Caenorhabditis elegans: one gene and its partner. The protein of the gene in region 1 interacts with the protein of each later gene in a biochemical or structural test. Each region holds a gene or a part of one and is shown in the gene's direction. Other genes may lie near its edges.

What was found.
Region 2: of the proteins of egl-9 (region 1) and cysl-1, one has a biochemical effect on the other in vitro, tested with the Caenorhabditis elegans proteins (2 studies listed by BioGRID, with this or other methods).

The regions. Positions count from the first base shown.
Region 1 is NC_003283.11:10,464,956-10,472,944, forward strand, and holds the start of egl-9 (Hypoxia-inducible factor prolyl hydroxylase), read left to right. Parts: upstream 1-3,561; 5' UTR 3,562-3,569; coding exon 3,570-3,644; intron 3,645-3,988; coding exon 3,989-4,117; intron 4,118-5,444; coding exon 5,445-5,922; intron 5,923-5,967; coding exon 5,968-6,161; intron 6,162-6,277; exon of another isoform or gene 6,278-6,339; intron 6,340-7,989. UniProt on the Caenorhabditis elegans protein: Cellular oxygen sensor which regulates the stability and the activity of hypoxia-inducible transcription factor, hif-1. In normoxic conditions, hydroxylates hif-1 targeting it for vhl-1-mediated proteasomal degradation.
Region 2 is NC_003284.9:9,952,079-9,957,978, reverse strand, and holds cysl-1 (Cysteine synthase 1), read left to right. Parts: upstream 1-3,445; coding exon 3,446-3,548; intron 3,549-3,829; coding exon 3,830-3,918; intron 3,919-3,970; coding exon 3,971-4,099; intron 4,100-4,253; coding exon 4,254-4,737; intron 4,738-4,805; coding exon 4,806-4,914; intron 4,915-5,078; coding exon 5,079-5,190; 3' UTR 5,191-5,400; downstream 5,401-5,900.

The DNA.
Region 1 (7,989 bases):
AGAATAACGAGAAGTTCAAAAAGTCACGTTTTGTTTTCCAAATGTTCAGTTTGAAAAATCAAATGATATATGGACTTCAAAATGATTGTGTGGGTTATACATATGACATTTATAAAAGTTTTTTAGAATATATTACTCACAGACGAATCAGATAAAGATTTCAGCATTGAATATATGAATTGAACACGTTTTGATATTTGACAACAAAGTAGGGTTGCAATGTTTTTTAAAGTGTGAAGCGACTTCTAAAAAATCAGATTAACATATTTATAAAAAACATTGTTTTATAGCTCAGAAACTTTAGGAAAATGTTTCAGATTATTTTTGACGCTCCTAAACTTTCAGAAAGTGACGTAGTTTTATTTCTGAGCAACTCGTGGGTTTGTTAGCTCTATCCTTGTTGAACACGTGTGAATATGTTTGCTCCAGTGAATCATTTTTAGTTGTGTATCCTTCTTGAAACTATAATTTGTCTCAAAATGAGTTTCCAAATCTCAAATCTATGTTTCAACCGTATTATATCTCATTTGTCGATTCAACAATAAATAGAGTTACTTATGTTTCTTTACTTGACATTCATAAAATTCTATACTTCATTCTAAAATGAAGGGGGTACATTATAGTTGATGACAAGTGTTCAAACACCATGCTTTCATTAAAATTAATAATTTCATTGTGCGTCATAATTCATATGACACCTTCAACACTCTTTCCAAGTAGAGCCACATTATTACGAGCTAATTTCAACTCCTAATTTTACGTACCAAGAAAACATTTCACGATATACTGACAGATGTTTTTTCACAATATGGTAATGTCTTTGAAGTTTAAGATTTTGCATATTTTGAAAGAGCGTCTGAAAATGTTGTGATTTGTTTTGTGAGATTTTTTCCGTTTTTTAAATGACGATTTATCCGACCTAAACTTTGAATGATCAATGTTTATCGACTAAATTTCAAATTCTATTGTGTTGTAATGACAATTGCGAGGTCTGAGTGAGACTGATCTATTAAATAATTACAACGATTCAAGATCATTTTGTTTGTCAATTTTTTAATTCAAAAATCTGCTAGCAGTTGAATTCTTAATAATAATCTAATTAATGTTTTACGGTTTCATTTAGGGATTTTGGTTTTTTTTCTCAAAATTTCTTACAAAAGAAAAACGTTCCATTTTACTTGCAGAATACAAAACGTTGCGTGCCATTTCATTTAGAATTCTAATTAGAAGTATTATATCACTCAATCAAAATGTTGGGAAAAATTTAAATATTTGTAAAAAATGTGACATTTTTCAAAACCCACTAATGTGATTTTTTTTCAACATTTAAATTTTTCAAAAACTACCACAACATTTATCTACACATGAGCATACTAAAAACACCAAAAGTGTGCTAAAACAGTACCTGGAGTAATTCTATAGGCCATGAAAAAAAGAAAATTGCACTGTTTTTCCAAGTTCTATCTCAAAGATTCATGTTTTCTCTATGCAGCGAACAAACGTTTTCCTCAGAAAAATACTTGATAACTGACAATTAGTAATGCCTTCATTTTATTCTTAATAACAGTCCTCAGTTTTCAGGTTATACTTAATTCTTGAAAAATCAGCATAATGTGCAACAAGTTATGCTAAAGATTAAAAAAAATTTGCATCACCCACGAAAGACCTCAAAGACCATTCCTTTCCGAATCTCCTCACACCTTGTACCACATTGAGATAGTAAAGAGATTGGTGGAGAAGCAGAGTGCGCGTGCATGTGAGCGTGCGCTTTTCACGTTCCAACACAATCTGCGTCTCCGTGCTCTCATCTACCATTATGTCTGTGTCTCTAACTGTCTTACCAATTTTTCATTTGCGCACGTAGACAGTTTTGGTGTCTCTCTCTATCTCTCGATTTCCTCCTATATGCGTGTATGTGTGTGAAAGAGAGAATGAGAAGAAAAAGAGAGAGAAAATGAAGAGGAAAGATCTCCCGCTTCGTCATTTTCCGCGCATTGCATTTTTTGTTATGCTCTTCCAATTAACTGGGTAAAGCATCACGGACTTTTCAATTATTATATCAAAGTTCTTTTTTTTAACTATCAAACAATTATTCGATCTTCTTATGACTACTGTACCTGATTACACTTAAATTTCCTAAAACTTTTCCGAAGATCTACTCTTTTATCTATTCAAATATAAAAGAGTGATCTTTGGAATAGGCAAGAAACATGTCGCAAAAGAGTGCACCCATCTGTCTCACATTCCTCTCTCAAAACTCTTGTTCCTTCCATATCTTCTTCTCATTTCTCTTCGTTTCAATTTCTGCCCTCTTTCGTAAGGTGTGGGAATGTAAAAAAGTGCGTGACGTAATATGTTCCATCTCTTTTTCTCTGGATTGATGCAACCTTGTTTTGACACCAAACACCCTGCACAACATTTTAGAACATAAAAATTTTAAAATTGATGAATAAAAAGTTATTACCATGTGATGAAGTTCAGTCAAACTTGTTTAGCATCTCATTGGTGTTCACTTGATTGGTCATAAGATTTCTCTTTGTTTTTTCTTTGCTGAAATGTACATATTAATTCAAGTTTTGAAGAAAAAATACAGATATTCCTTATTTCAAAGCTTTGTCTCGTTATTCCCAAAAAATGTGTTTCTATGTTCATGCCATCTGGTGTATAGAGTACAATGTATCGTAAATTTGTTCAGTTTAATAACTTTTAAGAAAATCGTTCTTGATTTACCGTATCAATGATGAAGGTCGAAGTGATTTCCACCGAGAAATCCTAAAATTATTTTTAAAAATTGCAAAGAAATAGTCTGTAACTTCCGTTTTGAAACCGTTTCTTTTGTGTTACTTGAATTAGTTTAATTTTTTATATTTCTGAACTTTTCTTTCGAACGTTCTCATTTCATTTTTTTTTCAAAGGCCGATTAAGAGTGCACTTTAATTATAAGTGTTTCCGGAAACTATTGAAGAGTAGTCCATACTACACATTCCTTTTATATCAAACAATTTTTAACCTGAATAACACGTCTTTTAAACGTTGAAATCAAATTTCATTTGAAGGTTAACGGCATCAATTGACAGATAACTTTTTGAATCAATGAAACCATATTTTGTTATTACTATTTAGACAATATACCAGGATAATCCCTTGTGATTTCTGTTTTACTTCTAATCTATATTGTTTTCTTGATCAAATTTGTTCGATTTTCTTTGTCATCGTGTCTCTTTGATCCGTCCAATCACAACCACCACACATTTCTTTCACCGTTCATCTAGTACTGAGAACAGTTTTTTTCGTTTTCAATTTTTTTTTCTTAACTTCTTCGTGTGATAAACGGCAAAATGTCGTCGTGCAAATCATCAACGCTAAGATGGACATTTTTTTTAATGATAAGAGAAATGCAAAGAGAGAGAGAAAAAAGCACGAGAGAGAGAGAGAGATGAGCACACAAGACACGCAAACAATCAGTTTCGGTGCCACGTCGTTCATTTTATCACGTTCACATATTTTTCGGTTATTTTCTGATCACTGCCAGATACTGAATGTGACAGAAAAAAGTTGCAGCACATGACATGAGCAGTGCCCCAAATGATGACTGTGAGATCGACAAGGGAACACCTTCTACCGCTTCACTTTTTACAACGCTGGTATGTTAAACTACTTTAGTTAGAAAATTTAAACTCTTATTACCAACCTTTGAAAATTGAACACCTAAAATGAATTACCTAAGTGATTTTTAAACAGTTATTACTCTGTTTTCTGAAATTCACTATTCAAAAAATCTGTAAAAAGGATACTGTACTTCTGTATGTGGTGAACACTGCATCAATGGGACTAGTTTATTAAGTCTAGCAATTTTGAAGTTTTGTTTGTAGTATGGAACCCCTATTCGCATTAGAGTTAAAAATCACTGAAATCGTACATTTTTCAAAAAAGCATAACTTTTCAGAATTACATATTTGGGTCACATTAATAATGAATAATTATTCAGATGCTCAGTCAACCATCTTCTTCTACAGCTGTTTTACAGTGTACATATTGTGGAAGCTCGTGCACATCTTCCCAATTGCAAACATGTTTATTCTGTGGAACAGTGGCTTATTGTTCCAAGGAGCACCAGGTTGGTACCGTAGGGTGTATTCGTTGATCAACAAAATAATGGGGGTCCTGCTGATTAGATAAACAAGTGTTCTCACGTAATCCGTCCCTTCTCACGATGCATCTACCCTAAATCTGTTTTTGACTCTAATTCCTCCCTTCTTTTCGAATTTTTGAACTGGCTATTTATGGGAATCAAATCTAGTTCCTGTTTAAAATTATACTTTGTTTCTGACAACTACTTCCAATTATAGTTGTCTTATTTTTGTTGAATTTTTCGGAAAATAACCTGAACCTGCATATCGCGCAAGAACGTGTCGATTCGAACATTTCGGCTGGCTGCCCTCCTCCCGAGAAAGAGCTTTTTGAAGCATATGTGCGCAGACAAGAAAGACAGAAACATTTGTAGACCAATGTCTGTGTTTACTGCAAAAACATCAAAATGAAATAGGGGAAATAGATGATGACAATAGGAAGAAATTTTAATTTCGAGAAAAAAGCTGTGGCAGCGATTTTAGATTTTATCGACGGAATTTGGACGGAGGATTGTAGATAACCCAGAAAAAGTTGTGACGTTCTCAAGAACAATAGTCTAGTTATTAAAAGTATTGAAAAAGTTCTGAAACTTGTTTCGTTAAAAAATATAATTTTCAATAAGAACCACTAATAATATAATCATAGTGACCCTCTACATTTAAACTTCCTAAATTATTCAGCATAAAAGTTGGGAAATATCAAACTTTAACAAAAGACGGAAACAATTCTTAGAGGTATATGTTGTGGCCATAGTATACTATTAGACGAGAATATGTTGCTTCAAAATATTTTACTTCCTTATTTGAGTGCAACAAAAATCACAATATGATTCATTCGTATTTCTAAAACTTTTCCTCTTTTGTGTTCCCATTGTCAACTTTTTGATCTTATTACTTTTCTAGACACGTCCATCAACAACATGCAAATAAAAAATTTGTTTAGTTTCCCACGTCGTTTCATAAATATTCTGATTTATGCTCAACAACTTATTTTTCTTACTAAACATCACACCTTTCTCTCATTAGACATAACCCAAATCAAGCCACGCCCGTGCACTTTTCACAAATTGAAACATCACAAGTGTCACGTAGACAATTTTTTTAAAGCGACTTATGGATTTCAATTTTTAGACGCTTGCAATTTTTTAATTTATTTGCCATAGATGAGATCAAAATTTTGAATACAATTTGCTAAAAACACATGCAAAAACAAAATGAGGAAGTAGAGGGTATTATTCTTGTTCAGTATTTCAAATAGTTCTACAACTTTTAGTTTTTCCAATACGAAACTCAGAATCAATATCTAATTTCCAGCAACTCGATTGGCTAACACATAAAATGATATGCAAGTCACTTCAAACAAGTGGCATGGTGCCAAGTAATTTGATGCCTCAGGCAGCACCTGCTGTTATGGCTCCAATTCCACCTACTGTTTCGTTTGATGATCCTGCACTTACCACGTCACTTCTTCTATCTCTTCAAAATAATCCAATTCTGAATCAAACTATTTCAAATTTTCCGCCAACATTTTCGATCACATCGAAGACCGAACCAGAGCCATCGATTCCAATCCAAATTCCACAAAGGATATCATCAACAAGTACAGTACCGTTCAGTAGTGAAGGAAGTGCATTCAAACCATACAGAAATACGCATGTGTTTAATTCAATTTCTTCTGAATCAATGTCTTCCATGTGCACATCACATGAAGCATCACTTGAACACATGTCATCAGCTTCCCTTGCAATGTTCCCAACAAGTAGTACTGCTCAAAGTGATATCAGTAGACTCGGTAAGCTACCAATTTAACAGTTTTTTGATATAAAAGATCTTTAAGCTCAAGTTTTGAGTCTTGCTGGAGATTCACCAGCTTCGTTGGCTCTTGTCACAACTTCGGTACCGTCAACTGCTTCCACAGCAACTATTCCACCTCCAGCGACAACGACAAGTTCAGCTACAAGTTCAGGCAAAAGCGAGACAATAACTGTTGGAAAAGAAAAGATAATTCAAACTGATGATCCGGATATTCAGGTTAGTAAACGTAATCATCTAAAGTCTCATCGAAAGGCCAAAACCTTTTTATTTCCGTATTTCCATGTTAGTTTCATTGGTGAAAATACCAACTATTTGATGTGAATATGTGTATCTAGGCTCATGCCAACGTGCGGATTCTGCGAGCCCTCCCGAATTTTACGTGATTTGTGAGAAGCGTGTGTGTGTGTGGAGCGGACGGCAATGCTGCACAAAATGGCAGTTAAACCAAGCGGTTAGAAACAGAGCCACACAGCAACAAAATAAATTGGCTGGTCGGTTTTGTGCTCTCTGAGTAATTATAAAATGGAAGTGAACTCGATTTGTTTGATGTTGATAGGAACGAGTAGACAGGGATGGATCACGCGTTCAAAGGGTTCGGAGATGATAGTAGTAGACAGTGAGTCAGGTGACAGAAAAATTCACTTTTGATGAAGACTGGAAGTTTTATAGTGAGCATACTTGATATTTTTGTTATCTCTTCAGAAAATCTGATGAGCACTATTGAGTTAAGAAAATATCATGCTTTTTCATTCCGTTCAGAAGTCCTTCCGTTTAGAATGGAAACACAAAAAATGTAGTGGAACATATGAATTCATTTTCAAATGTCTATTTTCATCTGTTGATCCCAGCACGATTCATTATTAACTTATAAAAAATTTCTACCGTCTTCTGTCATTAACTTCTGCTCATCATGCCTCTCAACCCATTACTTTTATTTTTCGGCTCATTGTTCAGTTATCCACCGGACGAGGAAGCAAAAAAGCAGCTCATTCATTATTTTCTTCGAGTCGCAATGCTTCTTCTTTCCTGTTATACCAACAAATGTGTCAAAGTTCACGTAGCTCTTCTTTCACTTATTCTCTGAATATCTTTTTGATCTATCTCACCCTCATGAGAATCTTCCTCCACTTTCCCATCCAAATGGAAAAGAATGAACGGCATCGTCTCGGAAAAGGATGTCGTTCTCCTCTCGATAAGAAAATATGAGGAGAATGTCACGTAGACCTGAAAAAAGCGTGAAACCGGAAATTCACATCAAAACAAGCATGGAAATGCAGCGACTGAAATAAACAGAAAAAGAGAGAATGTATTGGAATGAAAATTAGAATTTCTGGAATTGAAAAAGAAACATACGGTAGTTTTCACTCTTTTCCTCTTTCTCTTTTCTAAAAGACGACGTGCAGATCAGCAGTGTGCATTTATTGTTATCAGCACTATTCCATTCGTTGTCTCTAAGCGTCCACCTCCCGTTGTCTGTGCAAAACTTTCCCATTTTCGATTCTCGATTTCGGCACGTTTTGTGAAATTCACCCGCTTCTCTCCATCACGCACGCATACTCTTGCACCGCTCGTTTCTCTTAGCATTTCAGTAAATTCATCTCCTTTTCCTGGCTTCTTTATTTGTAATGTATTCAGTTTTAGTTTGAGTCTTTCAGTCATTAACTTTGTGCCGGCTTTAACTATTTTTCCAACTGAAAAACCAGATAACTGAAAACGAAAAGTGCAAATATCGAAGAGAAAAACAAACAATATACATACTCGTTTCACTCTTGTTTTCCAGTTGTGTAGTCAGTTTAATTAGTTCTATTACTGAAAATATGTTCCTTTTCTAGCCTAACATAAGTTTTGCACAAAAAATTGAGATATTTTCAATAACAGTCCTAACTCTAAATTTTTTCATTTTAATTTTTCTATCATGACCTATACTTCTGATTTTTTACAATTAAAGTATGAATAGCAACTGAAATTATTCTTAAAATGAATTATCCTTTCCCCTCAACAGCCTACGTTACTTCTGAATATCTACAGTTTGCACTCTTATCAG
Region 2 (5,900 bases), on another chromosome or scaffold:
TCAAGTTTTTGTGCTATGGAATATAAAAATACTAATTAAGGTTTGCCTCATTACCAATTTGACCAATGTTATTGTTATTCAATTTTCCAGCGATTGTCCCTTGGTAGCTATAGATTGTCTAGAATATATTACGGTACTTGTTGTTTGACAAATTGAAAACTGATCTCTTCATAGTCAAGTTGTTCATCTTCTTTTTATATGCAATCCAATTCAGCCACAATCTTATCAAAGATATAATTTGAACCGTGACAAAAATTGGTGTGGTAAATTTCCAGATGTATGTTTTTAGAAAATTGATCGTTCTCTGAGCTGAGATCAAAATATAATGCTTTTAGCAATGTTCAATAATTTTTTTTTCACATCAGTTTCCAGGTATTGCTTTAGTTAGTAATCACTCGTGTCTCTTCAAAGAATAAAGTTAGAAATTTGGAGTTTTTGTGGCTTTTCAAACTGGTTGCTATGTTTAGAAAAACCTGTGGCGTTGGCAGGCAGTATGAACTTTTTTGATTTTCGATCTGATTGTCCTTTGTTCGTAATATTTTCTAACGTCACAACTTGTTCCATAAACACAAAAATTTATGAAAAAAATTGGGACCCATTTCATAGTTGCATCATCTTAGAATATTTTATTGCAAAATATCAGCTTCATCAGCAAAGAATGCGTGCTTCGCAAAGTTTAAGTTTTGCAACCCGTATGTTTAAATAAATCATTAACAAAAAACTTTTTGTTATTCCGCTGCATTTTCTCTGTGAATTTTAGTTCTTAAAATGTTGAATGTTTGTAGTTAAGTTCCAAATCTATAATATGCCTAATTTTAACCAAATTTCATAAATCGTTTTAATGATGTAATTGCAAATATTTTGATTTTTTCTAAACATAATGTGTTTTCAATGTATTTTTTTGAAAATCCATCTGTTTCAAAAGGCCACCGAATTTCATTCAAGTTTTTAAACAGCGTGCGCCATTTACAAATGTTGAGAAGTCTTATTGGGTATTTGATAATTTTTGCTTGCTTTAAGTGCCTTGTTGTCATCTATTTTCTTTCAAATAAAAAATTGAATATTCAAATTTTGTCAGATGAATAGTTTTAGCGGGTGTGTAACCAACACCCCCACATGGTTATTACGTGATTCGTTATTGTTTTGATTTTTCTTTGCGTCATTTTCGAGTACCCCTAAATTGTACTTTGTGACTTCCCTTTTGAATTTACTGCATGCATTATAAAATGTGAGGTTTGGTTGTTCTATGTGCAAGGGTTCAGAGAAAAGCGCATGCTGCTCATTAATACTTCATTCTGATGTGTGAATTCTTAAGGCTGCGGATTTTCTATATATGTAGTTTCGAGAAACCTCTCTTCAGCTTACGATTAAACTTGTTCTGAAGTTCGAATTTCATGTTAGCAAGTAGATTTTTATCTTCTTTTCTAGATTGAAAATTTAATTCGCAACTGTTTTTGGCATCATTGTAATAAAATGGCAAGAAGTACACTGCGAAACTAAATAGCGACAACCGATTCACCAGTTTTCAATTTATTCTCCCAAATCCCGAGTGTTCTGCATGCTCTTTCATTTACATTTAATGCTCTCGAGGTCCATATTAATGTTTCTACTCTGGTCGCAAAGCTAATAAGCTTTTATCCGTCAGTTATGCTCCCATGCGTATGCGTTTCGCTAGATTTTCATCTTTTGATCTCTACATCTTAACTGAGAAGTAGTCCCAGTGGTCAAAGTATATATGAATGAAACAGCATGCGTGTGGAAATTGTTATTCAATTCATCGTTGTAATTTCATCAACAAAGAAATTAACAAAAATTGTCTCTGTTACCGCTTTTTAATTTATTTATCAACCTTGGTAGGTCTCCACAATCCAGTTTTGTTCTTTTCTTTTTATCGTTTGTGTTTTATATCTTTTTGCAAAAGATATAGAGATAAATGCATGCTCGACAGTATAATTCTTATATTCAACGTTTCTGGACGACGTGGGAATTTTCCCATGCTACTGATGAAGTCTGAAGTGCATAGAAGAAATAGCACGAGTGACCTTTTGCTTTCTGGACATTATTGCATGCAAACTACTACTTTTTGCTTACTTCACACTATTTCGACACTACTATTATTGGTTTTCTCAATCATCAAATGTGTTTTCAAAGAATTTTGAAACATATCCAGATAGAAACTGTAAAAAGGTCTAATGCTCTTTAAGAACTGCCGTTTTAAAATGATCAAAGTTTACTTTTTGAAGTAAATTCTGAAAACGCCTCGCGATATCGTGTAATTTGATCGTTTGTTCATTATATTTTTTATTAAGAAAACTCCCCATCACCTCCTATTTCATCCTTCTCGGAGTTTTCTTAGAAGAAAAAGAAAATGGAAAAAGCGTGTGAATGTTTCTATTAGATGACAGGAGATCCATTTTTTACATCCTTCAATTTTTGCAACAAGATTCCACTTCAAAGAATGAAATGTTTCATTAATAAGTGCAGTTTCAAAAGATCAAAATAATACCAGCCGGTTAGTTGTTGCATTTGCTATTTTTACAAAACAAGAACACTAAGTATATATCGAAACGTGCAAGTACTTTTCATTGGTTTAATCCGGTGAGTGGGGCGTTTTCGTGTTTTGTTTAACTCATGACTCATAAAGGTTATTCAGGATAAACTATTCCTAATTACCTATAATAGATGTACATGTAAATGCTTTTCCATGTTTGGAGTTTATCGTGCTTGATCTAGAAAATAACAATTTTTTGAAATAACTCTGTCTGAGTTCCTAAAAAGTTTAATTTATACTTTCGGGAAAAATACGAAGTGGTTTACCTTTTATCATCAAAAATGTCCCAGTTTCTAATAAATGGATATCATCTCTTCTTTTCCCATTGTAAATTTTCCAGCTCACCGACATTTGCATAATGCAATTATGTCATACTGAGCGGTTATTGTTGTTTTATTATCTTATCGTGGATTCATTCTCTCCTTACTTGCTCACTTCATTTTTATAAATCTGTCTCGTTGCAGCTGCTCTATAAGATACAACAACGGGATATTCTTCTATCTCTTGCTCGTTGTGTTGCGTGTTCTGTTTGTTTCCTCATTGCTTCCTTAGAATGTTCATTCAATGGCTCATTAGATGTGTGCCAACCTTTAAGAAATGCCAGCTGATTGTGCATTCGTTCCGCTACACAACATGTACTTAGACATGTGTCGTCTATCTCTCCCTATCTTATAACATTTTCTTTATCTCCTTATCTCCTTCTGTTTAAAAGTCCAACTATCATTTGGAGTTTGGTGTCAAAACCAGCAGAAACAGATGATAGAAAAATATTTTGTTTCCGTGCCAATAGTCATTGATAGTTTAAAATATTTCTTTCCTGTGATATAGTTTTCCCTTTTCTGCGTTCTCTCGTTATTGTCTACACTCTCATTTAACTCATAGTCGATGTTTCAGATGGCTGATCGCAACTCTATTGGCGAAAATGCTGCCGCGCTTATTGGCAACACACCCATGGTGTACATCAATAAATTGACAAAAGGACTTCCAGGGACAGTTGGTTGGTTTATTCATTTGAATTAAACGAAATCTTAAAAAATGTTTTGAACAATACTGGTGAAACTTTGAATTTTTTTGTTTCTTTTATGCAATACCACTGTAACCGAGTTTTGTAACTTCTCAACAAAATATAACTTTGACAAATAGTCTCACTTAAAAGAAAGTACGAAAAATAGTAAAACCAGAACGTAGATAAAATTGAATTTTACAAATCAAAAATGTTTTGAATTTTCAAGAAGAAACAAAAGTCCAATTATCCTATTATAATTTTCAAGTTTACAGCTGTAAAAATCGAATACATGAATCCAGCGGGATCGGTCAAAGATCGTATTGGAGCGGCAATGCTTGCAGCGGCCGAAAAAGATGGAACGGTGCTTCATCAACAATACCATTGTTCAAAAAATTGCATTAAAATTTTTTAAGGTGATCCCGGGAGTGACCACGCTCATTGAGCCAACATCAGGAAACACTGGAATCGCATTGGCTTTTGTTGCTGCCGCCAAGGGGTATAGATGTATTGTCACAATGCCAGCATCTATGAGTGGAGAACGCGTGAGTATTGATCTTATGGATGCAAATCTTCACCCCAGGAATTGCCAGTACTGAAACCTTTTTTTTTAGCTATTGAGTACAGTTGTGTCATCTGTGATTTTAAACAAATCTCCGGGTTGAAAATTTTTTAACATATAAAATATATATCTTACAGAGAACTCTTCTCAAAGCATATGGATCCGAGGTGGTCTTGACAGACCCAGCGAAAGGAATGAAAGGAGCGATTGACATGGCTAACCAGCTGAAGGAAAACATTCCAGGGTCTATCATTCTTGCTCAATTTGACAACCCAAATAATCCACTTGTTCACTATCAAACAACTGGACCAGAAATTTGGAGACAAACCAAAGGGACAGTAGACGCTGTTGTTTTTGGGGTTGGAACTGGTGGAACAATTACCGGAGTTGGCAGATACTTGCAAGAGCAGAATCCAGGTGTCCGCGTGTTTGCTGTGGAGCCAGAAGAATCCGCTATACTCAGCGGCAGACCAGCCGGTCCACACAAAATTCAAGGCATTGGAGCAGGGTTTGCTCCAGCTGTTTTGGACACAAAGATCTATGAAGACGTAATTCGAATTCATTCCGATGAGGCTATTGTCATGGCTCAAAGACTTTCCTATGAAGAAGGTCTTCTTGGCGGTAGGTTGTGTGACTGTGTTTGCTTTGATAGTTTGAAAGAAGTATGTTTTTAAAATTCTATATTTTAGGAATTTCCTCCGGAGCTAATGTTGCAGCTGCACTTCAGTTGGCTGCTCGCCCAGAAATGGCTGGAAAGCTCATTGTGACTTGTTTGCCAAGCTGTGGAGAACGATACATGTAAGATGACTGACTTAAAATGTTACTTGTGATGTGAGCTAGTAGTTTGCATCTGATTCCTCGGATGTTGAGTATTTCTGATAGAAAGTTAAACAACTATTGAATCTTTAACGTAGTAATCATGTACAATTTACTGTGATTGATCTTAAAAACCATTTTTCCAGGACCTCTCCTTTGTACACCGACATCCGCGAAAGCGCTATGGCTCTGGCAGTCGAAAGCTTGGAGGCAAACTTGAAGAAGTTATGTCTTCACAACTATGATATTATGGAGTGATTTAAATCAAAAATTCATCTCACTTTTTTCTTTTTTCTTTCATTTAAATTCTTTCACCCAAAAATTATCAAGGTTGTTACTCACTAAAAATGATAAATCGGCTGGTAATTCAATCAAAAAACCTACACATTATAATAATTTGCATTCTTTCGTATTTTTTCCATGTAAATGTTCCGCTGTCTATTTTTTCAATAAATGCAATTAGTGTTTTGTACTGTGATCTAAGATAGCTTGTATGCTTTGAACCCGCAGACACTAAGATTGGTGTTGAACTGACGAAACTGGGAGGATAACCGACTTTTTTAAAAACAATTAAACCATTAGCACAGTGAGGCATGAAATAGGCTTGTCGATGTCTCATGAAAAGGTCAGTGCAGATAGAAACACTGACCCTAATAAGGAGGAATGAAACCTGGTTTGGCTAATCGCCAGAAAAATTCTTTCACCGATAGTGGTGGCCAACGAGACAAACGCTGCATGTGGTTTCAAGCGAGAAGTTCAATTTAATTAGTAGTATGGATATTTAACGCGATCTTTATCAAATCGGAAAACTATACCACGGAGGTCTGGTTTGATGGTTTCACTATGAAATTATTTGAGCGGAAAGTTCACAGTTTTCTAGCTGACTCCTTTGAACATGTTCAGTTGAATTGACATAAACTTAAATGGTTCACGTACCCATCTTTTTGGAAAAGAGTAATGGAAAAGTT